6 linked regions of the Rattus norvegicus genome follow. The protein of the gene in region 1 interacts with the protein of each later gene in a pairwise test. Links are inferred from orthologs where the notes say so. Each region holds a gene or a part of one and is shown in the gene's direction. Other genes may lie near its edges.

Region 1 (3,659 bases):
TTACTCAGAGCCAGAGATTGGGCAGAGGATTCTCTGCCGCTAAGGACCTCGGGAGCTCTAAGCCTTCAACCCCTGGAAAATGAAAGGGAAAGGCAGTTCGTGCCTGAGTGCCCCAGAGAGGCCCGAAAAGGTGTTTGAGTGGGGTATCTCAAACTTCTTGGAGCTGTGATCTCATTCTGAGTTTACCTTCTCCAATCTGTTTTTGGAATACTCGCCATCTTTCCTGGACAGTCAGCCAGGTACTAGCTGGACCTTTGCCCAATGCCCCTTCCCACTGTAGGTCTGGGGGTCATGTGGAGCAGGGACACTGGTAGCGAGTGGCCCTCCCACTACACTTTTCAGACGTAAGGTCCCAGACCCAAGGCCGTACTGTATTCTGGCACCTCCCCCAGTTTCCAGCAAATGCTACACGTTCCTACAGGCGTAGGAAGGAAATCGTTTCTTCCCTGGGTGGGCAAATATTTAATCAGACACTGGGAGCACTCCTCGGGCCAGACCAAAGTCCCACCTGATGCACAGAGCCCCTGCCACAAGCCCAACCTTCAGCCCTCCCCGGTGAGGTTGGTCTGACCCAGTGGGACCCTGGGCGCAGACCCTCACCCTGTAATTCTGAGCTCACTAATCCTGCCGAGGTTTATGGGGGTAGGGATGGTGTGGGGTTGAGTAGACAGAATCAGGGCCTGGGAAAGGCTGGGGTCTAGGGGTTCTGGGCTGAAGATCGAGCTAGGAGGTCAGGGGGCCAACGGTGGGAAGATCAGGGAAGCTGGGGAGGACGTGGTCGGGAGAGAAAAGTGGCCCTTAACAAATTTTGTAGGAGAAAACAGAGGTGGAGGCTAGAGAGAAACTAGTAAACTTACGGAAATTAAATATTTGCAGAGAAACGTATTTGGGATATATTTAAGCAGCAGGAAAGAAATTAAATATTTAAGGGAAGCAAAGAGGTTGAGCGTTTAGAAAAAGAAAGGATCAACTATTTAAGGGAAACAGTGGGGGTCAGAGATCTGGAAAGAAGGGATAAATTAAATATTTAGAAAAGAATAAAACGGGGACAAGAAATAAAGGAAAAACAAACGAGTTTAGATAGTCAAGAAGTGAACAAAATTTTACATTTTGGGCAGGAGGAAAACTATTAAATATTATAAATACGGATGAAAATAAAATATTTGAACAACGAAACTCGTCTGAAAAGTCGGAGACGGTCAGTTTCGGGGAAGAAAAATACTTTTTGTGTTTGAGAGAGAAAAAATCGGATTGAACTATTAAGAAGAGGGTAGTGGTGCCCCATTTGGAAGGAGATGACAGAAAGAAGACAGGTTGAGGGAGGGGAAGAAAACGAATATTTGTTCAAACAAAAGAGAATCTGAGTCAGAAAAGAAAATAAATTTAACTCGGGGAAGAGAATTTTTAAAAAGCTGGGGAAAAGGGAGAGGGCTCCTATTTTCTGGAGACGGGAAGGGAACCATTACGGAAAAACTCGGCAGAGGCTGAAGAAAAGGCGGGATGTTAGGAGAGGGGGCTACAGAGTCTCAGGTCGGGGATGAGGGTCCTTCCCGGCCACCACCGTGGCCCTGACGTTTCTCCCGCTGGCTTCCCCAGGTCTGGTTCAAGAACCGGCGAGCCAAGTGGCGCAAGAGGGAGCGGAACCAGCAGTTGGACCTGTGCAAGGGCGGCTACGTGCCGCAGTTCAGCGGCTTGGTGCAGCCCTACGAGGACGTGTACGCCGCCGCCGGCTACTCCTACAACAACTGGGCCGCCAAGAGCTTGGCACCGGCGCCGCTGTCCACCAAGAGCTTTACCTTCTTCAACTCCATGAGTCCGCTATCCTCTCAGTCCATGTTCTCGGCCCCCAGCTCCATCTCTTCCATGACCATGCCATCCAGCATGGGCCCGGGCTCCGTGCCCGGCATGCCCAACTCGGGCCTCAACAACATCAACAACCTCACGGGCTCCTCGCTCAACTCGGCCATGTCGCCGGGCGCCTGCCCCTACGGCACCCCCGCCTCGCCCTACAGCGTCTACCGGGACACGTGCAACTCGAGCCTCGCCAGCCTGCGGCTCAAGTCCAAGCAGCACTCCTCGTTTGGCTACGGCGGTCTGCAGGGTCCAGCGTCGGGCCTCAACGCCTGCCAGTATAACAGCTGACCGCCCCGCCGGGTCCCCGGGGCCGCCGGCCGGCAAGGCGCAGCGGGAGCGCGCGGAGCACACGGGGCGCTCGCAGCACCTGGGACCTCACCTCTGCGCAGCCCCTTCCTCCCCACCCTGCCTCCAGGTTGGTTTTGTGTTTGCTTTTCCGGACCCCGCTCTGCCCCCAATGAATAAAAAAGGGAAAAAAATCAAGCCAAGGGAGGGGGTGGGGGAGAGAAAGCAAAAAAAATAAAAAAATTTTAAAAAAAGGACATCGGAGAAAAATGCTGGGGGTGGGGGTGAGTTGCAATGTCCCTGGCGATGGCGCAGGTGGTGCGTTCGAACCCTCGACCCCCAACTGTCCACTACACCAAGGGGATGTGGCGTGGGGGAAGCCAGCGCCAAAGTGGCTCGGAGAAGACGCCGTTCGTCCCTGCCGGAGCGCCTCAACCCGTGAACTGAATGTAGGGAGCCTGGAGGCCCTGGGATCGTTCACCCGATCAAAAACCCGAGGCACCCTCTCCTAGCCTGGGCCGTCCGAGTGCATGCAGCGCGGATCACTGTTGGAGCTTGAGCCTGGCTGGGGATGACAGCGCTGATGGGGATCCGGTGTGCCGGATTAGCCTAAGGCCTCGGGATGCCAGAAGAGCCCAGCAGCCCTGAGCTCTGGAGCCGCACACTTCAGGCCACTGAGCCGCAGCTGGCCGTGGCCAGTCCGCAGCAGGAGGGGAAGGGCTCAGCTCTGAGTTCCCCAGCCCCAGCTTAGCCGCCAGCCCGGCCCTCTGCTCCACTACGGGTCCAGGAGGTGGCCCAGTGAACAGCCCCTTCCTCACTGCTCACCCGTGCAAGAGTCGAGCCAGGAGAGCGCGGGGCCACAGCCCCAGGGCCCCCGCCCACTTTGCACACCCGCTCTCTGGCCCGCGCCCGTTTACAGCGTCCCTGTGTATGTCGGACTGACTGTATAGAATTATAAATCTGTCTATATCGACTTGTCCATGTACGTCTATTAAAACCATAGTCGGAGCGTGCTAAGCACCACTGAGCCCTGGCTGCTTCATTCAACTGAAAAGGGAGGCCAGCGCGCCGCACTGAGAACGGAGTCTCCCTGACCCTGGGGGTGGTAGAGGGAAGACCTGTGGCAGGGGTTCCCCAACACTATTCTTGACCTGCCCCTTCTTGCAGTGACAGGCAATCTGGTGGAGATTCCTCTCCTCCTTAGGAACCCAACTCTCCGAGCTGGGCCTGCTTGATCCTCAGATTCCTAGGGTGTTGAGAACACCTATGACCTAGATCGTAGGGGTGCACTCTCTGAGCACCGTTTAGGACTGGAGCTCCCTGTTCTCCCATGGCCTCATCCCCTCATCCTCCTTGGAGCCCAGCTCCGGCACCGGATGTTCCACAGTCTAGCTGGACTAGCCTCTGCCTGTTCTCCTAGCGCCCCAATTACTCTCTAGCTTCCAGCCAGGGGCATGCGACTCTGAGAGAAAGTGTGTCCACCCAGGGCTCACTTCTCACTTCTCGATCTCAACTTCTGG
Region 2 (4,268 bases), on another chromosome or scaffold:
GGTTTGAGTCACCACATCTGTATGCCATTTTTCTGCGTTTGTTTCTCCAGCCATGTTGGCACAGCAGACTGTGTGTCCTTGGACACGACTCTCTTCCTGGGATTCCTATTTTGTGTAGTGAGTAAATTAGGCTCAGAGAGGTCCACTAAAGTGACCATGTCTCAGGGGCTCACACAGCCAGAGACAGATAGGCCAGACACTCATCTTGGAATTCTAAAGCCAAGCCCAGCTTCATTCCGCAAGAACAGGGCAGACACACCTGACTACCCTGGCTGCTCCAGCAGGCACCAAAAAAGCCCGCCGTCTCACTCCTGGAGACTGCCTGCCAAGAGGAGCACAGAGTGAACCTGAAGGGTTCCCACATACACCAGGCCTCCTAGAACACAAGCCTCATTCCCTTGGAACAAATATTGGGGAGAGGAAAGCTTGTTATTCCAATAGAGGATTAAGGAATGCCTCTATTCTCAGAGCAGATTTTCAGTCAGGATCATCCAGGCCCCACATGGATGTTTGTTTGTCTTTTAGATAAAGTCTCAGAGTTGCAAAGCTGGCCTAGAACTCGGTCTCCGGAGTGCTGGGATTACCAGTGTGTTTAAGCAAATATTGTCTTTTCTGTTTGTTACTAGCTCAATGCCCTGGTCCATACAGCGGGTTTACGTTTTAGCTACCTGACGTGTTAAATGAGAATGTTGACCTCCATCCATCTCCTGAGGCTGCCTGTGAGAAAACCAAGCTCCAGGACAGAGCCCACTGCCCTACGCCCTTCCCTCACCTCTCGGACCCACCCCTCACGAAATATTTCTTTGGCAAAAACTGCAAAAAGGGCGAGAGAAACGCTAATTTTCTGAGTCTCGTGAGAGGAAACCTATAGAATCCCCAGGCTGACCCTTGCCCTGGTAGCTCTGTCACGTTTTGTTTTTGTTTTTTTTTTTTTTTTTGCCCCTGCCTTTAAGGTTTCTGCATTGCAAAGTGCGTGAACTCAGCAGAGGCCTAGTTTGTGTCGAAATAAGAGACCCCCCGCAGAGGCCTACCTAAGAGGCTCTAAGCAAGTGGGTGGGAGGTAGTTGCGGACCTGGCTAGAGAGAGTTCGGGAAAAAGGGCGGGACTGAGAAGAGACGCATTGCGGATAAAGGTAGGGGGCTGGTGTGTTGGGCAAGGGGGTGGGACCAAAAGGCGCTGCGCATCTGTTGAAGGAGTGGATGCGTAAGGAGAAGGGGAGGAGGAACCTTTGTACACTGTCAACCTGGTTGGCGGTGGGATAGTGTGCTGGCAAAGAGGCGGGATCTCCTCCAAGTGCACATGCGCGACAAGGTCTCCAGGATGAAGCTTTTGTTGGGAAAGCAAGCGGGACTCTTATTTGGACAGTGATCTGTTGCGCATGCGCGGGGCTTCCTGAGGCGGTGGGTGGTATATTAGGCGAAGAGGCGGGGTCGCCCGAGCTGCCGCGCTGGCATTTTCTCCTGGACAAGGAGAGAGTGCGGGTGCAGAGAGCGGAGCAGAGCAGTCCCGATCCTCTGAGTCGTGAAGAAGGAAGCAACGAAGGGGGTTGGGGTTGGGGCCTGAGGCAAGGTGAGACCCGCCCCCGGACTGGGCATCTGCCCCCCTGGTGTGGCGCCCTTCCCCCATTCTTTTATCCCAATCCCCTTTCCCTGAATTCAGAAACCCCCTCCTCTGCCTTACCCCGGACTTACACCTCGCTCCCGACCCTTTCTAATTCGAACTCCCGTTCATTCCCTGAATCTTTATCCAATTCCTTCACTGAATCCTATTTCCCGACCTTGATCCGTTATACGATTCCTCTAGATTCAAAGCCTTAATTCAACTTTACAGACGCGAACCTCTCCCCGCTAACCGCCCCCCCCCCCGCCCCTGTAAACTACCGCATTCAGAGCGCTTATCTGATTCCAAACCGCGGATTTGAAGCTTTTACCTGTCAGCTTCTGGAAATTTTAGATTGTCTATCGGGACGACCATTTACTTTTCCCGCTTCAGTTAGGCCTGTTTCTCCCCGTACCCAGCACCTCACCCGCCCCCATAATCAAACCACACGCGCACACACAATTCGGTCCTACGTATTTTCCTTCTGTAGTATAATGCCTAGTTCCTCTCCCACACCCCCCTCAGGCTCTGCTCTTGCCAGAGAGACAAGAGCTATGGCTCAGAAACCGGACGGCGGTGCAGGCCTCCGCGGCTTCCAGGTGAGAACCCCGCTCCCAATTCCTCCATTTTCCTTGCTGACAGATTACGCCCACCCCTGGCCCCTCAGGTCGCGCAAATGGCAGGATCTGATTTTGCCCTTCTTCCGGCCTAGACTCCGCGGGCTCTCAAATTTCTAGCGTTTATCGAATAGGGGGGAGGGGCGGCCCTTTTCAGCCATCGGTCCCTGCTTAGAGAAAGGGGAGACCCTGTTAGTCAGGGCATTCTGCCCAGAGAATGCGGGTTGGGTAAGGAACCATTTTTTTTCCATAACCCTGACGCGTGTAGAGCAGTCTGTCGCCCCATCCCCCAACCTCTCGCCTCCACCCTCCCTTTCTCCACGCCGCGAGACTCCCCCTCCACCCTCCTCTGTTTATCCTCCTCAATTCCTCCGTCCTCAGGTCTTGAGCTCCCCACGGCAAGCCTCACGAGTCTGTCTCTAAACCCATTCGGGGTTCAGTGCTTGCACCACATTCCGCACCAGCCCCTGCTGCCTCCGACTGTCCCTCACCTTGCCCTGCCCCCTCTACCTTTAATTAAATTTTGTTCCCGCCCCGCCTCCCTTTGACCCGCCTCTGCCCCCATGTCTGAGTACTGTAACGCCTGTCTACAGTTCCCCTGCTGCGTTGCGCCGTGCCCCTCCTTCAGGTCTGGCTTGTAAGGCCCAGAGATTAAAATTTCCCCCTCCTGTATTTGCAGGCAGAGGCCTCTGTAGAAGACAGCGCCTTGCTTGTGCAGACCTTGATGGAAGCCATCCAGATCTCCGAGGCTCCGCCCACCAGCCAGGCCACAGCAGCTGCCAGTGGGCCGAATGCTAGTCCCCAGAGTTCACAGCCCCCAACTGCCAATGAGAAGGCTGATACTGAGGTTTCAGCAGCTGCTGCCAGGCCTAAGACAGGCTTTAAGGCCCAGAATACCACCACAAAGGGGCCAAATGATTACTCTCAGGCACGTAATGCCAAGGAGATGCCCAAGAATCAGCCTAAGGTGGCCTTTAAGTCACAGAATGCCACCTCTAAAGGTCCACATGCTGCCTCTGATTTTTCCCATGCAGCATCCACAGGCAAATCAGCAGCTAAAAAGTCTGAAATGGCCTTTAAGGGTCAGAATACCACTACTAAGGCTGGCCCCAGTGCCACCTACAATTTCACTCAGTCTCCCAGTGCCAATGAGATGACCAACAACCAGCCTAAGACAGCTAAGGCTTGGAATGACACCACTAAGATCCCTGGAGCTGATGCCCAGACCCAGAATGTAAACCAGGCCAAAATGGCTGACGTAGGGACCAGTGCAGGTATCTCTGAAACTGACGGTGCAGCAGCCCAGACCTCAGCAGATGGCTCCCAGGCTCAGAATGTGGAGTCCCGGACTATAATTCGGGGCAAGAGGACCCGCAAGGTGAGATCCCTGCTGGCTTCCCTTTGCTTTGAGGTCTCTCCTTTCTTTGAATTTCCTTTGCTCCAAACAAAATAAAGGGCACATATATATCTCTATTTTGGCAAAGTTGTAGGGGGAGCTGAAATAAATATTTATTCCTGACCCCCGGTTGTCCACAGATTAATGATGAGTTGATACAAGGACACAGGCAGTATGTGTGCAGACCGTCTTACATTTGACAGTAAACACCATGTCTTAAGCTAGGCAGGCTCACCCAGAATTATCATTAGATTTTGAAGATCCACCTCACAAGCAAGAGAGACCACAGTCAGGGAGAAATGAGTTCAGGGTGAAACCAAGCAGTGCACAGGAAAGGGAGAAACCCCGGGCTCCACTTTGTGTTTTTCTTTCTCTGGTTTGGAGATGAAATGCTTTCCTGAAAGACAGTGAGGAACCAAGTGGCTAATGGCTAGTGAGGTATAGGTGAGGATTCCTAGGGACTTCCTAGGATAGCTACTGGGGGTGCCAGGATTAATAGTGACCCTGAAATTTTCTTCTCTCTAATGATACAGATTAATAACTTGAATGTGGAAGAGAACAGCAATGGGGACCAAAGGCGTGCCTCGCTGGCTTCCGGGAACTGGAGGTCTGCTCCGGTTCCAGTAACCACTCAGAACCCACCTGGCGCACCCCCT
Region 3 (4,096 bases), on another chromosome or scaffold:
AGACATTACTTGGAGAAAAAGATAAATGAAGGATATAAACTGAAAAGATATAACTACTACTGATTGCTTTCTGCCTATAATAAAAATTTGGTTTTGAAGTAACAAGAAGTCTAGAGAAGTAGGTGTCAGATTATAAAGGACCTCGTGTATCATGTTGAGGGTATATGAAAGGCATATTGGGTAATGTGAAGGTTTCTGAGCAGAAGAGGTGATTAAAATGGGTCCTGAAATGCAGGGATGTAATCCCAGAACTCAGAAGCCTGAGGCAGGAGAATTGCCAGGAGTTTTGAAGCCACTCCTGACATACATTGTTACAGCTGAGAAGCTGAACCACCAACTGACTGACTATACCTAGTTTTTAACATCTACTGTCCCAATCATCGATCATGTATGTCTACGCTTTCTGTTTTTTGTTTTTGTTTTTTTTTTTTTACTTGGGGATCAGGGTGGGAGTTGAGACAGAGTTTGTCTGTGTAGCCCTGGCAGTCCTGGAACTCGCTCTGTAGACTGGCTGGCCTCCAACTCAAAGATCTGCCTGCCTCCCCAGTGTTCAGACTAAAGTCATTTGCTACCACACCTGACTGCTTGCTCTTTTTCTTAGCTCGCATTTTTTCTTTTCTTTTTCTTTCTTTTTTCTTTTTTTAGAGAGAGAGACAGGACTTTTCTACCTAGTCCTGCTGGGGTCTTGAGCTCTCTGTAGGCCAGGCTTGGCTTGAACTCACAAAAAGCCACCCGCCTCTCGTTCCCGAGTGCCGGGATTAAAGGCAAGCACCACCACACCCGCCAATCCATTACTCAAACTACTTGCTCATAGAGACGCTGAGATTACAGGGATAAAAATTTAAACTTGCTCAGCCCTCAAGGAACTCAGTACAGTCCGGTCACAGCAACTGTGCTGTCAGCAAAATCCAGAGATCCGAGTCGAAGCGACCCCCCTCCAGGGAACCAGTTAGGTCTTCAAATCTATTTTCTTCCGCAGTAGGTGACACTTATCTTCCATCCCTCCCCTCCAGCCAGGGAGCCGGCCCACCGTTCCCCTGGGCCCACCGGGGTGAGACTTCCAGGTCCAGCAGCCTGATCCAGGAGCACAAGGAAGCGAGCGCCGCCCCGCGGGTGGGCGGGCAGTCTGCGGCAAGCAGCCAGCGCCGCTCGGCGGCGGGGCGGAGCCGCGCTGGGCTCGGCCCAGAGCCGGGAGGGCCGAGGCCACCGGAAGAGTCGCGGTCGCCAGCCGAGCGCTGTGAGTGGGGAGCGGAAGCGGTGGCGGGCGGCGCTGGGACCCGGGAGCGGCCGGAGAACAAGGGAGCTGGCGCCCCGGCCGGCGGCTGAGCGGGGCTAAGCAGCGGGCCTCGCCGAGCGCCGAGCTCTGTCGGAGAGGCCCGGCCCCGCTGCCCAAGCAGGCCGCACGCCGCGGGGCCGAGGCCGGAGCCATGGGCGAGACTAAGATCATCTACCACTTGGACGGCCAGGAGACGCCGTACCTAGTGAAGCTGCCCCTGCCCGCCGAGCGCGTCACCTTGGCGGACTTTAAGGGCGTTTTGCAGCGGCCCAGCTATAAGTTCTTCTTCAAGTCTATGGACGACGATTTTGGGTGAGGATGGCCCCCGCCCCGCCTCCCGGGAGCTCGGGTCGCTCCGCTGCTAGGGGCCAACGCGGCCAGTTCCGACTCCCCTCGCTGCACTGGTTTCTAACCCCGCTTCCAGCAAGGAGCGACTCGGTGACTTGGGACCCTCTTGACTTTGAGGGACTCCCAGTCATCTCTTGGAGGCCTTGCCTCCCCCACCCCACCCCCCAGCCCAGCGGGACGTCCCTCCCTAAGCAATTGGTTCCTATCATTTAAGCCCCTTCACCTCCCCACGGTCCAGCGGCCCGCCGTAGACATACATCCTTTCCACTCCAAAACCAGAGTTCTCAGTCCTTCCAGGTGCCACCTTTTAAGCATAGAGTTGGAGTTAAACTGACACTCGGTCTGCCTTCCCAGTCCTCTGAGCTCTGCAACTCAGATCCTTATTTGGAGTGTGCTCTATCTAGGGCTGTAGCTGGTGGGACTTGGAACTGGAGAAGGAGGAATTGGGGGCTGTTCTGCCAGGCTGGATGCTGGACCTGATGTTTGTCGAGTAGATTCTCCTCTCTCCTGGGCTGATGGGGTGTTGCCTGGCCCGGAGAAGGAGTTTTCACTAATCAGGTGCTGGGGCCTTTTCTTTCCTGATGGTGTTCCCAGGGGAGATGCTACATAGAGCTTCAGAGCCTGGATGGGAAAGCCTGGAAGGGCCTGTTGGTGTTCTCTTGTCTTCCCCTTCCTACCCAGCTGCAGGGCTTTTGATGGGCAATTTGGAAGATGGGACTGCCCCTTTAAGAGAGGTTGGAATGTTGGAGCCTGAGGGTTCTGTAGCAGCTGGCCTGAGAGGGGACACACACACACACACACACACACACACACACACCTATCCAAGGGGCTGAGGCTTGCCTGCATTAACTGGACAGCGGACTTATAGGCTATGGAGCAAACACACACACACACACACACACACACACACACATACACACACACACACACCCTACCCCACCCCTCTCTGGGCCCTCCAAGGCCTGAAGGTCCCTCTGATGCACTTGCCTGAGGCTTGCACTCTGCTTGCAGCTGAGGCCCCAGAGCTGGGTGAGGGGAGATATTCTCTCTAGTGTACATTAGTCTGGCTTCCCTCCTAAGCCCTGCCCTCCAAGCCCCAGGAGGCAAGCACCTTCTGTCTCCTTCTGGGCTATTTGTCATTTTCTGCCCTGGAACTCGACATTTGATGAGCTCTTAAAAGTGTGTGTGTGTGTGCATGTGTGTGTGAGTGTGTGTGTGTGTGAGTGTGTGTGTGTGTGTGTGTGAGTGTGTGTGTGTGTGTGAGTGTGGACAGTGGAGAATTGATCTGACTATTGCTAAATCTGTTCTTGCCCTGGGATGAGACTCTTGTGTGTGGTGATGATTGTCTGGCTGTAGTTTAGAGTAGGAAGACCTGGTTGAAAGACCCTGAAAATGATGTATCTGGAAGAACTGAGGATAGGAGGTGAGTGTCTCAACCTGGCATGAGAGGAATAAGAAGAGGGTCTTTCTTATTATTCGAAGGAGCTGGGATAATATTTCAGGATATGCTAGGCCAGATGTCTTGAGGGATTAGAATAGTCTTGTATCTCCACCCCCACTTGCCTCTGCCTCCCAAGCAGACCACTCTGAGCTGCTTCCTGCTTTCCTGAGGTTGTCGTGGGAGCAGACCTAACTACAATTATAAGAGGGCTCCCATTGCATCTGCTCACTGTTGGGAAATATTTTTCTTTAAATCAACTATTGAACTAAGCAACATTTATCATGTGCCACTTTGAAGCATTTTGTATTTACCTGTGGTCCCTTTGCAAAATATTCATTGTCTGTTCTATCAGGGTTGAGAACAATGCTAAGAATGAAGTGGGTGTGATTATTTGGCTTCTTCCTCCCAAACTCCAAGAATAAATGAGCAAAAGACCCAGCAAGGCTATCCTTTTCAAGTTAGGACAGCAGAGGATCCTGTTGACAGTTTATTTCATTTTTTATTTTACAAGTGCATCATATGATACAGTCTGCCTGATAGTGATATATTATTACTTGTACATCTTGCATCTTTGAGTCCTCATACCAGCCTATGAAATAGGCACTAATTTCCCACTTTGAAAATTAGGCTAGAATGTTAAAGGCCTAAATAAAGCTGACCCTAGATCACACAGCTAGTAAATGACAGAATTTGTTTGGATATGGGGGACTCTCACTCCAAAATCTAAAGTCTGGGTCACACATTGTAGATGTGTGTGTGTGTGTGTGTGTGTGTGTGTGTGTGTGTGTGTGTGTGTGCGCGCATGAGTGTGTGAGTGTTTATGTGTGTGTATGGGTGTCAGAGAGTGTGCATGAGTGTGTGTATATGTGTGTGTGAGTGAGTGTTGTGTGTATGGGTGTCAGAGAGTGTGTGTGTGTGTGTGTGTCACAGTAGTGAGGAATACTGTGCAAATGGCCATAGATTATAGACTTTTCTCTCCAGAGAATAGCAAGCCTTGGCAAACTGGGGACATAACATGCACCTCAGCCAGC
Region 4 (3,500 bases), on another chromosome or scaffold:
TGTTAAACTGGGTGCTCAAAACATCCATCAAATTATGTGTTTATACTATTCAGCAGAAATAAGCTGCAGAAGTTAAGGCAGACAGCTGGAGTTTCCAATTGAGCTTTCTCTTCATGGATGAACTTCCTGTGGTTGAACTTTGTGCTGCTTTCACTTATATCATGGGGTAAACAATAGTAACACATTATGATTTTTCTTCTAGCTGTTCCTAAGAACATGATGTGTGCTGGCTAGTTTTATGTCAACTTTACATAGGCTAAAGTGATTTTGGAAGATGGGATTGCATTTGAGGAAATGCCCCACTTTGGATCTGCCTGTGGGCAACCCTGTGATACAGGTTTTTTTTTTTTTTTTTTGTTTTTCTTTTTTTTTGATTGATGATGATGTATGTGGGTCCAGCTCACTGTAGGTGATGCCATCCTTAGGCTGGTAGTCCTGGATGCTATAACAAAACAGACTGAACAAGTCATGGGGAGCAAGCCAGTAAGTACTCCTCTGTAGTTTCTGCATCAGTGCTGGACTGTGATGTGAAACTGTAAGCTCAAATGAACCCTTCCTCTCCAAGTTGCTTTTGGTTATGGTGGTGTATCATAGCAATAGGATCCTAAGACATATTTTCATTCTTTATTTCTTTTGCTGTTCCCTTTCTTACTTATCACAGTTAAGTTACCATTCCATTCCCAGACAAGGGGTCTTAGAAGACACAATGTAAACAGACGTGGCTCTGAAGTGGGGAAGCAACCCCAGTTCCTGAGCCAGCCGCTCAGTAAGCTCAAACAACACATGACAGTTTACCAATGTAATACACCTTACCTTTCTGCAACAGTACCTGGCTTTTTACATAGGTTCTGGGAATTGAATTTGAGTTCTCATGCTTGTAAGGCAAGCCTTTTACCAACTGCTAAGCTCCTAAAATTTAGTTTTAATGCTGTAATGTTAAAGGTCTTTTGTTGAAAGTTGATAAAATCTCCATTTTTTAAAAGAAAAACTTTATGGGAAATACCATTTTGTTTTCTAGGATGATTGCAGAGTTGTCTTGGCAAAACAAGAAATCACAAGATTATTAGAAACACTGCAGAAACAGCAGCAGCAGTTTACAGAAGTTGCAGATCATATTCAGTTGGATGCCAGTATTCCAGTCACTTTTACAAAGGTGATGTGCTGTCCTTTGTTTTTACTTATGCTTTCTGCAAATTGTGAGTAGCAGAAAATCGAAATCAACTTAAAGAGAACACTAGGAAATTCATGAGTTGTAGAATTTAAAGAAAAGCTGCAATCAGTGGGGAATAGAAACAAACGAGACTAAGTCTCTGACCTTATTTCCTGGTTTAATTGGAATTGTACCCAAAGCATATTTATTTTATATTTCTTTTTTTTTTTTTTTTTTTTTTTGGTTCTTTTTTTCGGAGCTGGGGACCGAACCCAGGGCCTTGTGCTTCCTAGGCAAGCGCTCTACCACTGAGCTAAATCCCCAACCCCTTATTTTATATTTCTAATACATTATTGGTACTATCAAGTATTCAGCTAATAATTCAAAATTTCTCAAATTTTTTCCAAAGTAAAAATATATTGAGACTATCACTTAGCCTTGGATTTTCTGTAACCTGAGCCTCCTTTCTCTGCCTCCCAATTGCTGGTGTTATTGATTAGAAGCCACCATGCCTGGCTTCTAATCAAATTCCTAATTGTTTTTGTTTTGAGAGAGGCTCCAAAGAAGGCTGATAATGTGTTTGAAGTATTATACCTTTTTATAATGGGTTCTAGTGATTTAAAAACATTCATGAACTCTATTTTATTTCCTATTTTTAGGAAACAATTAAACAATTAAAACAGGAACACCCTAATAGAAGAAAGGGTAGGGAGGATGGGAATAAGGGGTTTCCATAAACCGGGAAAGGGTTTTATATTTGAGATTCAAATATAAAAATATCCAATAAAAAAGAATAATAAAAATAAAGAGGCTATAAATGAGAGTTGGGGGTAGCTTGGAGGGTCTGGATGAAATAAAAGAGATGAACGTGATATAATTTTATTTCAATTAGAAACACATTAAAGTGAAAAAAAATGTTTACATAGTTGAAAGCCCAATTTGCAGTGCAGAATTCATTCAGGTACACCTCTGTCTCTGATTTCTGATGCTTTTCACTCTGTTCACTATAAAAAACAAGACCATTTAGAGTTTTTCTTAGCTCATCTTCTTTCAAAAGCTAGAGACAAATGTTCCTGTTTTACATACTTTCTCCATTTTTTTTTTTTTTTTTTGAGCTGGGGACTGAACCCAGGGCCTTGCGTTTGCTATGCAAGCGCTCTACCACTGAGCTAAATCCCCAACCCTACTTTTTCCATTTTTAAAGGTGGACTGCCTTTTACTAAAGTGCACATCTTTTTTTTTTTTTTTTTTCTTTTTCTTTTTTTCGGAGCTGGGGACCGAACCCAGGGCCTTGCGCTTCCTAGGCAAGCGCTCTACCACTGAGCTAAATCCCCAGCCCCCGGATTTTAGATTCTTTTAAAAGATATGCGTAGGGGTGTATGTCTGTGCACTACATGTGTGGAGTGCACATGTAGGGTAGAAGGTAGTGTTGAAGTTACAGGGAGTTGTGAACTGCCATATGTGTGCAGGAAATTTAACCCAGGTCCTCTGGAAGAGTAGCAAGCCATTTTAAAAGATGAACCATTTTTCTCCACCTCCTGTATCTTCAAGCCCCCATTTTCAGTTCTTATGGTGATATACTCCAAAAATGAAATTAGTGGATCCTGTAGTAAAGTTTTTGAATTAAAAGATCTTAATTTTGATTTTGTTTTGACAAAGGGTCATATGTAGCTGATGCTGGCCTCAGACATACTATATAGCTAAGGATAACATTGAGCTAATGGTCCTTACAACTCAACATCCAATGGCATTCCAGGCATGTGTCAGCACCCCAGGTTTATGTAGTGCTGGGCATGAACCCATACAAATAATCCATGCAAGGCAGGCATTTAGCCACAAGCTCTATCTGTAGCCTTGTTTTTATGTTAGTAGGAATTTTTGTGATATTTCACATATTGTTAACATATCAAAATCTTACTGTTGTTTTTCTACATTTTGGGTTCGTAGCCATCTTACTGTGTATGAGATTTTATCTTATTGGGGTGGGGTTTTGCATTTCTTTGTTTCTTTGTTTCTTTTCATATGCTTTTTGTCCATTTGTCATGAGCAGTTTTATCAGAGCTTGGTTCACTTTTTAATTGGGTTGAATTTTTGTTGTTTAACAGTTCTTTATGTATCCTGGGTATTTATCAATCCTATATCTGCTTTTGATTTCTAGATATTTTGTTACATTTGGTAAATTTCTTTTTTACTTATGATTATGACCTGTTATGCACAAAGGTTTTTCTTTTTTTTTTTAATCTTTATTAACTTGAGTATTTCTTATTTACATTTTGATTGTTATTCCCTTCCCAGTTTCTGGGCCAACGTCCCCCTAGTCCCTCCCCCTCCCCGTCTAAATGGGTTTCCC
Region 5 (4,162 bases), on another chromosome or scaffold:
CCCGGATTTTGGACCGGAGCCTCCCAGCTGACATTCTATATGAAGATCAGCAGGTGGGGGTCCCCTTAGGGCCCAGCCCTCTTAAGAATGTCACAGGTGCAGTGGCACCTGATGGCCTGAGGAAGTAACACTGATCTCTCACCTGTCACCGCTCCCAGTGCCTAGTGTTCCGAGATGTAGCCCCTCAGGCTCCTGTGCACTTCCTGGTCATTCCTAGAAAGCCCATTCCTCGAATTAGCCAGGCTGAAGAAGACGACCAACAGGTGAGGCGAACAGGGTCAGTGGCTTGTCTGGGTGGAGCAGTGGATGAAGCTAGTGGTTTGACTCCTATGGGGAGAGCTACCTCTGCCTCTGCCCTCTCCCCTTAGCTTCTAGGACACTTACTCCTCGTGGCCAAGAAGATAGCACAGGCGGAGGGTCTGAAAGATGGGTATCGACTTGGTGAGTGGCTTTTGACCATGAATCCCTATAACTCGATGGTGATCTTTCTTTTGTTTCCAGCCCTCCCGTGACCCTGGTCCCTAACCTCAAGCTCTGTTTCAGTGGTTAACGATGGGAAGATGGGCGCACAATCTGTGTACCACCTGCACATTCACGTACTCGGAGGCCGGCAACTGCAGTGGCCACCTGGTTAAACCTGCCAGCTGCCCTGGGACCGCGGGCCTGGATGCTTGGATGGAGAACCGGAAAAGGGATCCTGTGATGTTAATAAACGTATTTCCCCCTCCGATTTTGCATCCCTGTCTTCAATATGTAACAAATCTATGTCAAAAAGGTGAAAGAAAATTGATTCGGGCCTATGAGCTCTCTTGACCATAGTCAGAATAAAAGATCGTAAGACCCAGTCAGTGGTTAAAGGAGTATATGGCGCAGATCTGCTAGTGTCTAATGGTCCATTCTGGGTCAAACGACTAGGAAAAAAAATAGCAGTAGAAATTTGCCTGGATGACTAGACAGAGACACGTCTATTGTACCATATTCCCTTCCATTTCGCTGTTATCTGCCTCTCTATGTGTGCTAAGGATCGAATCCAGGACCTTGGGCATGCTAAGCAAGCACTCCTACCGAAGACAGCAGCATTCTCATCTCCTATTTCATATATTTTCATCCTTAAACTGTTTAAAATAAAAAAAAAAATACACACTGCTCTTTCAACTTAGGGAATGAACCAAACCGGAGTTCATATTGATGCAATCCTGGGCTTTTCTCCAGTGCATCCCCTAGTCACCTTAGAACTAATCAAGATGGGCATGGAGGCGAGGGAGGGGTCAGATTAGTGGAACGTTAAAAGCCCAGGTGAGGCAGATTGGAGCCGGGACTATTGGAGAGCACCAAGTCTAAAACTTCCGCCGGTGGAAAGTATTTGTTTATTTCTCCTACTGGCCACCCCCAGGTCCGCCCAGCTCTAGTGCGCAGTCTCAACAAGTTGTTTGCCGTCTCTATGGCAACCCGGTAGGCGGAGTCTGAAAATGGAGACCACCGACTCCACAGAGGGATCTTTGACACGGTAAGAGCCAAAGAGAACAAGGGAGGTCAACGGACTAACTTTGCAGCAGTTTTGACAACCTTGATGAATTCGGGGTTTTTGTTTTTTTTCAGATCTTTTGATATACAGCCCAGCTCTGAAGGACTAGAGTCCACTTCAGAACCCATTCCTTCTTCGGGTAGCAGTCCTAAGCCTACCGTACAGACCGGAGCTGCCCCATCATCTGCAGTATGTCGAGGAGTTCCTTCGCCGTATTGTGTGTTTACAGATCCCTCCTCTGACAGTCTTTATGAAGCAACCTGCCCCGCACCCCATCCGAGGGGCCATGGGAGGTTTGGCTTTCAGCCCCTCTATGTTTCTTATATTCCTCGGGATCCCTGTAATACCGCAGACCTCAGCTCAAACCCTGATCCTGCCACTTCTTATCCTTGCCATAGCTCTGTTCATAGCTCTGTCTCTGGCTCTGGCCCTTGTTTTGGTGTTAGCTCTGAGCCTAGCCAGGGCTCGGGTCCCACCTCTGGGCCTGTTCCTGTCTCTGGACCTAGTCTTGTCTCTGGACCTGCTTCTGTCTCTGGACCCGATTCTTCTTCCTCTGGAACTGCTCTTGCCCCTGGACCCGGTCTTCCTCCTAGACCTGAGCCTGCTGAGCCTGTACCTGGAACTAAGCTCAGGACCTACATTCCTCAAGGATTCAAATGCATCCCAATAGATCTGTTCCCTAATTGGGGTCAGAACATACACTGGAAGCCGCAACACACCTGGGAACCTGTACAAGTCAGGGAACCTGGAGTAAGAGGGCCACGTAAACGTCCAGAGGTTGAATATGAGAAAATTCTCTGCAAAGCACAGCCACGTGGCCAGTGTCTCCTCTACAACTGGCAGGAAGAGGTAGGAAGGTTTGGTCTGTTCTCTCTTCCTAGGGAAGCCAGTAGTTTGTGATGAGGGTCAGTGTGAGAAAGGGAACTCACAGTTACTTAACATGGGGTCCACAGAGAGCCACCAACCAGCTGGATCAAATCCCACCATTGCAAGACGGCTCAGAGAGTTATTTCTTCCGACACGGACACCAGGGTCTGCTGACCTTGCAACCTCAGTTGCCCATGCCTTCTAGCACCACCCAGAAAGACTCATACCAGCTCCCAAGACACACCTGTTATCCACTTCGAGGTGTGAAGCATGAGAAACGGGGGACCAGAAAGAGCCCAGGAGGCAGAAAAGGAGATAGGACTTTTCTGGTGGGAGCGTGGATTGTTTGGTGGCTATAAGGGCAAACCCCAAGATTCCCCTTCTTTCCTCAACTCATTTCTAGAGCTAGTACTTGACTAGATTCTCTTCTGTCCTCCCGCAGGGAAGCGTGAAGCCATGCTGGAGATACTCCTGCAACACCAGATCTGGTGAGAACCAGGGAAGGGGGAAGGGGAGGAGAGAAACTGGGAAAAGGGTCTTGACCTCTCCCATGGCTACATAGTAAAGAGGTGCAGAGAGAGCAGGAGCCTACAAGGAAACTCTCTGAGACCGAGTCGGTAACACACCATGACTACAGAGTGGAGCTGGTAGGAACAGGGCCTCCTGCCCCAACAAAGGTGAGAACCCAGCCTGCCCTGCTTGCATAGCTCGGCTCTGCCCAGGAGTGGGAAAGCAGCAAGCCCAGATGTTTAGAGAGCGCCAAGGGGCAGGAGTTACTCAGTATCTCTTCCCTCACAGCCTCATGATTACCGCCAGGAACAGCCTGAAACCTTCTGGATACAGCACGCAGCACAGCTACGGGTGTGTGGGGGTCACTAGGTACTGGGGTGCAGGAGAGGCTCTAATCTGGCTTGGGGAAGGGTGGCACCTTTCCTGATCCTGGCACTCCTCCAGGGTGTCAATAGCATCAGGACACTGGACACTCCATTCCGGAAGAACTACAGCTTCTCAACACCAGCATCCTTGTCGCTGGGGCAGCCTTTGCCTTACGAACTGGAGAACAGCCCCCACCAAATGGGGGTAATGTCTTCCCTTGCCTGTCAGGGAGGGCAGGGGGATAGAAGGAAGAGAACAACTCCATTCTAAGTATTGAGGTGGGAAGCAGACATGGGATTTGGAATCCATTTCTATTTATACTACAGACGTACTTTGGATGGAGTTGATTCTCTGTCCTTGATGTAGGTTTTACATAAAGCACTCTCATCCTGCAGCTGTTAATTCATTGATTCTGTGAGTAAGTGTGCCCACACTCAGTATTCTTCTCTTGGAATGGCCTGGACCCCAGACAATGACACCATGATTTGTTGTTGTTGTTTTATACTTGGACAAAATATTCTGGTCTAGATACAGGTATTTACAGAAGGCAGGAAGAGGACCAAGATAGGGAGGGGCAGGCATATGTACAAGGCTGAGCGGCAGAGGGCTTATATGACTTCCAGATAAGGCAGGGGGATTGTGTATATGCATATTTTCCATCTCATATGACGTCTGTTTCTGTCAAGTGGAGACACAGTGACCATTGCCCATCCAAGTACCAACAGCAAGAAATTGTCTGCTTGGGATTTACAGGAGTCCAGGAGGTCCTTTTCGCTCTCCTAAGAGCCAATAAGTTCGCATTTTTCCTTTTCCCTGGAGGCAGGGGAACGAACATAGTTGAGACCCTTCTGCGTCAGTGCTTTTATCTCCCTCTCATCCCCTACTTTCATCCTC
Region 6 (3,500 bases), on another chromosome or scaffold:
CTCCCTCCCCGGACCACCACTGCTCCAGTAGCACAGAAGTGCTTGGTCAGAGGATAGTGACCGTAGGCCAAGTCGTAGATGTCTGTCGTAGTGTCAGAGACCTGGCTTTGGCTCCTAAATTGAGATTTTGGTTACTCTTACAGTCCTCTGAGAAGAAATGGTGGCGAAGTCAGTAGCGGGAATTCAGTGGCACAGTTTGAGCCCATGCTCCTTTGTGGAGAGTTTTTTGCCCCTTCTTTTCAACCCAAGGAATAGGGTACTCACATTCTTTGGTTTGCAGTGCTTGGCTAGACTGCTGGGTAAAGGCCCTTTCTTAGGCCTCCCTCCCATGACCCTCTGACAGGGTCTGTCTGCTTTCTTCCTCAGGCGGTGTGTGCCATCTTTGAGAAGTCTGTTAAGACACTGCTGGATGACTTTGCCCCCATGGTGCCACAGCTCTGTGAGATGCTGGGTCGGATGTACAGCACCGTTCCCCAGGCCTCTGCTCTTGACCTCACTCGACAGGTAAGCCATCTGCTTTGGGCAGTAGGTGCTGTGGATGTCATCTTGTTAGAGACCTGTCCCTGGGTGGGAGTGTGTCAGGTGGCTGCATGGCTGGGGTCCCCACCTGTGTTCAGGGATGTTGATCCATCCTGGTGAAGGGACCTCAGCTCACCAGCCTCCCCTGCTTTGTTGTAGTTGGTCCACATCTTTGCCCACGAGCCTGCCCACTTTCCCCCAATAGAGGCCCTCTTCCTGCTGGTGACCTCCGTCACACTCTCTCTCTTCCAACAAGGTAAGTGCCCAGCAGGGTCTCTCTACCACCACTGCCTCTGCTTCCCCCACTGGGGAGCCAAAGCTACCCCACTCTGTTCTCGATACCCTGGTCACAGGTGGGACTTGATGGGAAACCTGGGGGACGAAGCACAGTGCAATCGTTACCTACAAGTAGCTGACACTTCAGGGTGAAGTGGATAAAACGGCAAGTGGTATCTTACAGCCTGCCTGCGTTCCAGGCCAGCCTGGATACCCCGGAAGCTGGGCTCAGACTCTGAGTGACTTGGGGCACTAGTCTGGCTCATTGCCATTGGGATATTATAAGAAGTTGGAGGAGCATGGGCTTTGAAACCAGGTAGACTTAAGAGTCTAAGGAATAACCACCAAACTAGTTGTGTGACCTTGGGCAAGTCACATCCCTTCACTGAGCCTTGTTTCCATGTTAGCTCAGGGACTCCGGTTCCTTGGGTCCTGGCTTGGACTTTTGCATATGAAGTGCTCAAGTGCTGATTCCTCTTTTTGTGTTAAAGTTTAGTCTTTTCTGAGCCCAAAGTGCTTTCAGGGGTAGTCCCAGGCCCTCTTTCTGTGGCCTTCTGCCTAAGAAAGTTGGAAACTGGCCTTCAGGCTTCCTGTCTAACCTGGGTTTTAACCAGGCACAGAAGCAAGGCTACTCTGTCAGCCCCATGAGCCTAGTCTGGATTTGAGCTTTGAGGCCAAGCAGTGTCTGCTGGAGCCCAGAGTGCTTGTATCACACACATATGGTTAGTGTCTGGTCCCTTGTGGGCCACAGAGCAGATCCAGACTGTCCTCCACTCCACCTCTCTACTCCTTGTGCCCCCTTTCTGAATGAGTCCCAGTGATCTTGGGTCTGTTCATCCCTCAGTGGGTCCACTCCTCCTCCCCCTCTATGAGCCCTTTCTCAGTTTAGGCTCTGCCTCACTTAACACCATAAACTCCTCCATTCACAAGCACCCCTCTCTCCAACCCATCCAGCATCCAGCATACTGTACTTCATAAAACACTAATATGATCATTTTTCCTCTCTGGCCTAAAACCCTTTCAGATACTCCTCATCGCCCTCTGGTTATTGTCACATTCCCACAGGACCAAGCTCTGGTGAATCTCTGAGGTTCTCTCCTGACGGGAGCAATTCGGCCACTCTGACTCTCACTCATTACCATGCCCTATTTGAACTCTGCGCACTGCTCCTCCAAATGGAAAGCGTATGCCCCTGACTGGAGTTGATGCCCTAGACAGAAGGCAGGCATTACTCCTCAGACAGGTGACTCTGAGATAGAACTGGGCACTTGCAGCTATTTGTGAAAACCCCACCATACTTACACTGCTGATATAGAGCACAGGCCACGGAATTAATAATCTCCATGTCTGTCACTTCATGGACTGAACCCTCTAGGTCAGGGTCACATCTTCTCTACCACAGTTCTCCACTATATTCCTTGTGTCCAGAAGGAGGCCACTCTCAGACACTGGCGAATCAGGGAGGGCTCCCTGCCCCAGAACCTTTCTTCCACACTATCTGGCCCAAGCAGGAAGGGAACCGTACACTGACCACACTGTTCTAATGGCACATCAGACCTTTCTAAGACCTAAGCAGCGTAGATTTCAGAGATAGAGGATCCGCCTCAGGTCGGGGTTTCTAGTAGCCTGGTGAAGAAGACAAAGGAGAGGTTATGTGTCACAGATGGGGAGACAGAGCACCCGTGGCTTACACAAGATCACACAGCTACTCAGTGGTCTCAGGCAGATGCCTTTCTGCTGCATCCTACTGAGAGCGAAGAAGCCCAGGCAGGAGCAGCAGGTGCATGCCTTACTCTTCTTACTCCAGGAATAGTCAAAGCTGAGGCAGGGATGGCCAACATTGTTATTTGTCAGAGTCGTTGGTTGTCTTGTTGGGTAGGAGAGTCCCCATACCTGTTTTGCTATTCCAGTTTCAGTCTTTCTCAAGCCTTTGTCTTCCCGCTGGGTCATGCATGGGGCAACACAATGACTGTTTTCCCCTTATGGTGTGTCAGATCCTGGGAGCTGTTCTCAGCCCTGAGTTTGGCTGTCTCCCAAGTCTATGCCATGTGGAGGGACTTTGCTGGGATGGGGCTCTCTCACGCCTTATGATGCAGTTTATTCCCCTGGCCCTACCGATGGCTGGGCAGCCTTGTACACCCAGAGGCCTGCCCTGTCCAAGTAAGAGCACTTCAGTTTAAGCAAACAGAACTCTCATGGTGCTCACTGCATATTGGCATCAACCTACAATCTTAGCCAGACCAAGAGCCCTAAAGCCATCAAACTGAAAGGGACACTTAATCAAGATCTCATGCCCTGGACTTTTAGGGCTTTCAGCCAAGCCTCAAAATGAAGTGCCATGGACCAACCTACACCAGCTGTGCCCTCCACTTAGATGGCTGTGATAGGGAAGTATATACCAAGAGGCAGTGCAGGGCCGCCCCAGCCAGTCAGTCACAGCAAGAGTGTGGAGACTGATCCCTAACCCTGTGGAATCTAGAATCGTTTGAGCACCAAGAGATCACTACGGGGACTGGCTTGAGGTGGAACGGGGAGTAGGTGGCAGGCCCTGAGGGAGCTGGGGCAGGCCCGTCCTTCACTTTGCCGTCTCTTTCTGTTGGGCTTCTCCCAGTTCATGGTTTTTGTATGTTTTGTTTCTTTATCTTGCTTCCTGCTGCTCATGTGCCCCATGCTGCCTCCCGCAGGCTCTCAGTCCCACATAACTA

Evidence for each region.
Region 2: the proteins of Pitx1 (region 1) and Maged1 interact in binary tests that used the Homo sapiens proteins (3 or more experiments, as listed by UniProt). The link is inferred for Rattus norvegicus from reciprocal best matches to the Homo sapiens genes PITX1 and MAGED1.
Region 3: the proteins of Pitx1 (region 1) and Dvl3 interact in binary tests that used the Homo sapiens proteins (3 or more experiments, as listed by UniProt). The two-hybrid records come from large-scale screens. The link is inferred for Rattus norvegicus from reciprocal best matches to the Homo sapiens genes PITX1 and DVL3.
Region 4: the proteins of Pitx1 (region 1) and Trim23 interact in binary tests that used the Homo sapiens proteins (3 or more experiments, as listed by UniProt). The link is inferred for Rattus norvegicus from reciprocal best matches to the Homo sapiens genes PITX1 and TRIM23.
Region 5: the proteins of Pitx1 (region 1) and Spag8 interact in binary tests that used the Homo sapiens proteins (3 or more experiments, as listed by UniProt). The link is inferred for Rattus norvegicus from reciprocal best matches to the Homo sapiens genes PITX1 and SPAG8.
Region 6: the proteins of Pitx1 (region 1) and Ipo13 interact in binary tests that used the Homo sapiens proteins (3 or more experiments, as listed by UniProt). The link is inferred for Rattus norvegicus from reciprocal best matches to the Homo sapiens genes PITX1 and IPO13.

What each region holds. Positions count from the first base shown.
Region 1 is NC_086035.1:8,802,319-8,805,977, forward strand, and holds the end of Pitx1 (pituitary homeobox 1), read left to right. Parts: intron 1-1,596; coding exon 1,597-2,142; 3' UTR 2,143-3,159; downstream 3,160-3,659. UniProt on the Homo sapiens protein: Sequence-specific transcription factor that binds gene promoters and activates their transcription. May play a role in the development of anterior structures, and in particular, the brain and facies and in specifying the identity or structure of hindlimb.
Region 2 is NC_086039.1:63,420,186-63,424,453, reverse strand, and holds the start of Maged1 (melanoma-associated antigen D1), read left to right. Parts: upstream 1-1,468; 5' UTR 1,469-1,569; intron 1,570-2,124; 5' UTR 2,125-2,153; coding exon 2,154-2,198; intron 2,199-2,895; coding exon 2,896-3,594; intron 3,595-4,145; coding exon 4,146-4,268. UniProt on the Homo sapiens protein: Involved in the apoptotic response after nerve growth factor (NGF) binding in neuronal cells. Inhibits cell cycle progression, and facilitates NGFR-mediated apoptosis. May act as a regulator of the function of DLX family members.
Region 3 is NC_086029.1:93,884,104-93,888,199, reverse strand, and holds the start of Dvl3 (segment polarity protein dishevelled homolog DVL-3), read left to right. Parts: upstream 1-1,296; 5' UTR 1,297-1,427; coding exon 1,428-1,588; intron 1,589-4,096. UniProt on the Homo sapiens protein: Involved in the signal transduction pathway mediated by multiple Wnt genes.
Region 4 is NC_086020.1:37,053,205-37,056,704, forward strand, and holds part of Trim23 (E3 ubiquitin-protein ligase TRIM23), read left to right. Parts: intron 1-1,018; coding exon 1,019-1,153; intron 1,154-3,500.
Region 5 is NC_086023.1:62,696,951-62,701,112, reverse strand, and holds Spag8 (sperm-associated antigen 8), read left to right. Parts: upstream 1-1,448; 5' UTR 1,449-1,469; coding exon 1,470-1,507; intron 1,508-1,599; coding exon 1,600-2,374; intron 2,375-2,478; coding exon 2,479-2,653; intron 2,654-2,834; coding exon 2,835-2,880; intron 2,881-2,954; coding exon 2,955-3,069; intron 3,070-3,190; coding exon 3,191-3,253; intron 3,254-3,346; coding exon 3,347-3,538; 3' UTR 3,539-3,662; downstream 3,663-4,162. Other genes in the region: adenosine 5'-monophosphoramidase HINT2, read left to right, coding at 1-53, 159-263, 369-441, 544-635; Npr2 (atrial natriuretic peptide receptor 2 precursor), read right to left, coding at 4,016-4,081. UniProt on the Homo sapiens protein: Microtubule inner protein (MIP) part of the dynein-decorated doublet microtubules (DMTs) in cilia axoneme, which is required for motile cilia beating.
Region 6 is NC_086023.1:136,722,479-136,725,978, reverse strand, and holds part of Ipo13 (importin-13), read left to right. Parts: intron 1-366; coding exon 367-504; intron 505-678; coding exon 679-775; intron 776-3,500. UniProt on the Homo sapiens protein: Functions in nuclear protein import as nuclear transport receptor. Serves as receptor for nuclear localization signals (NLS) in cargo substrates.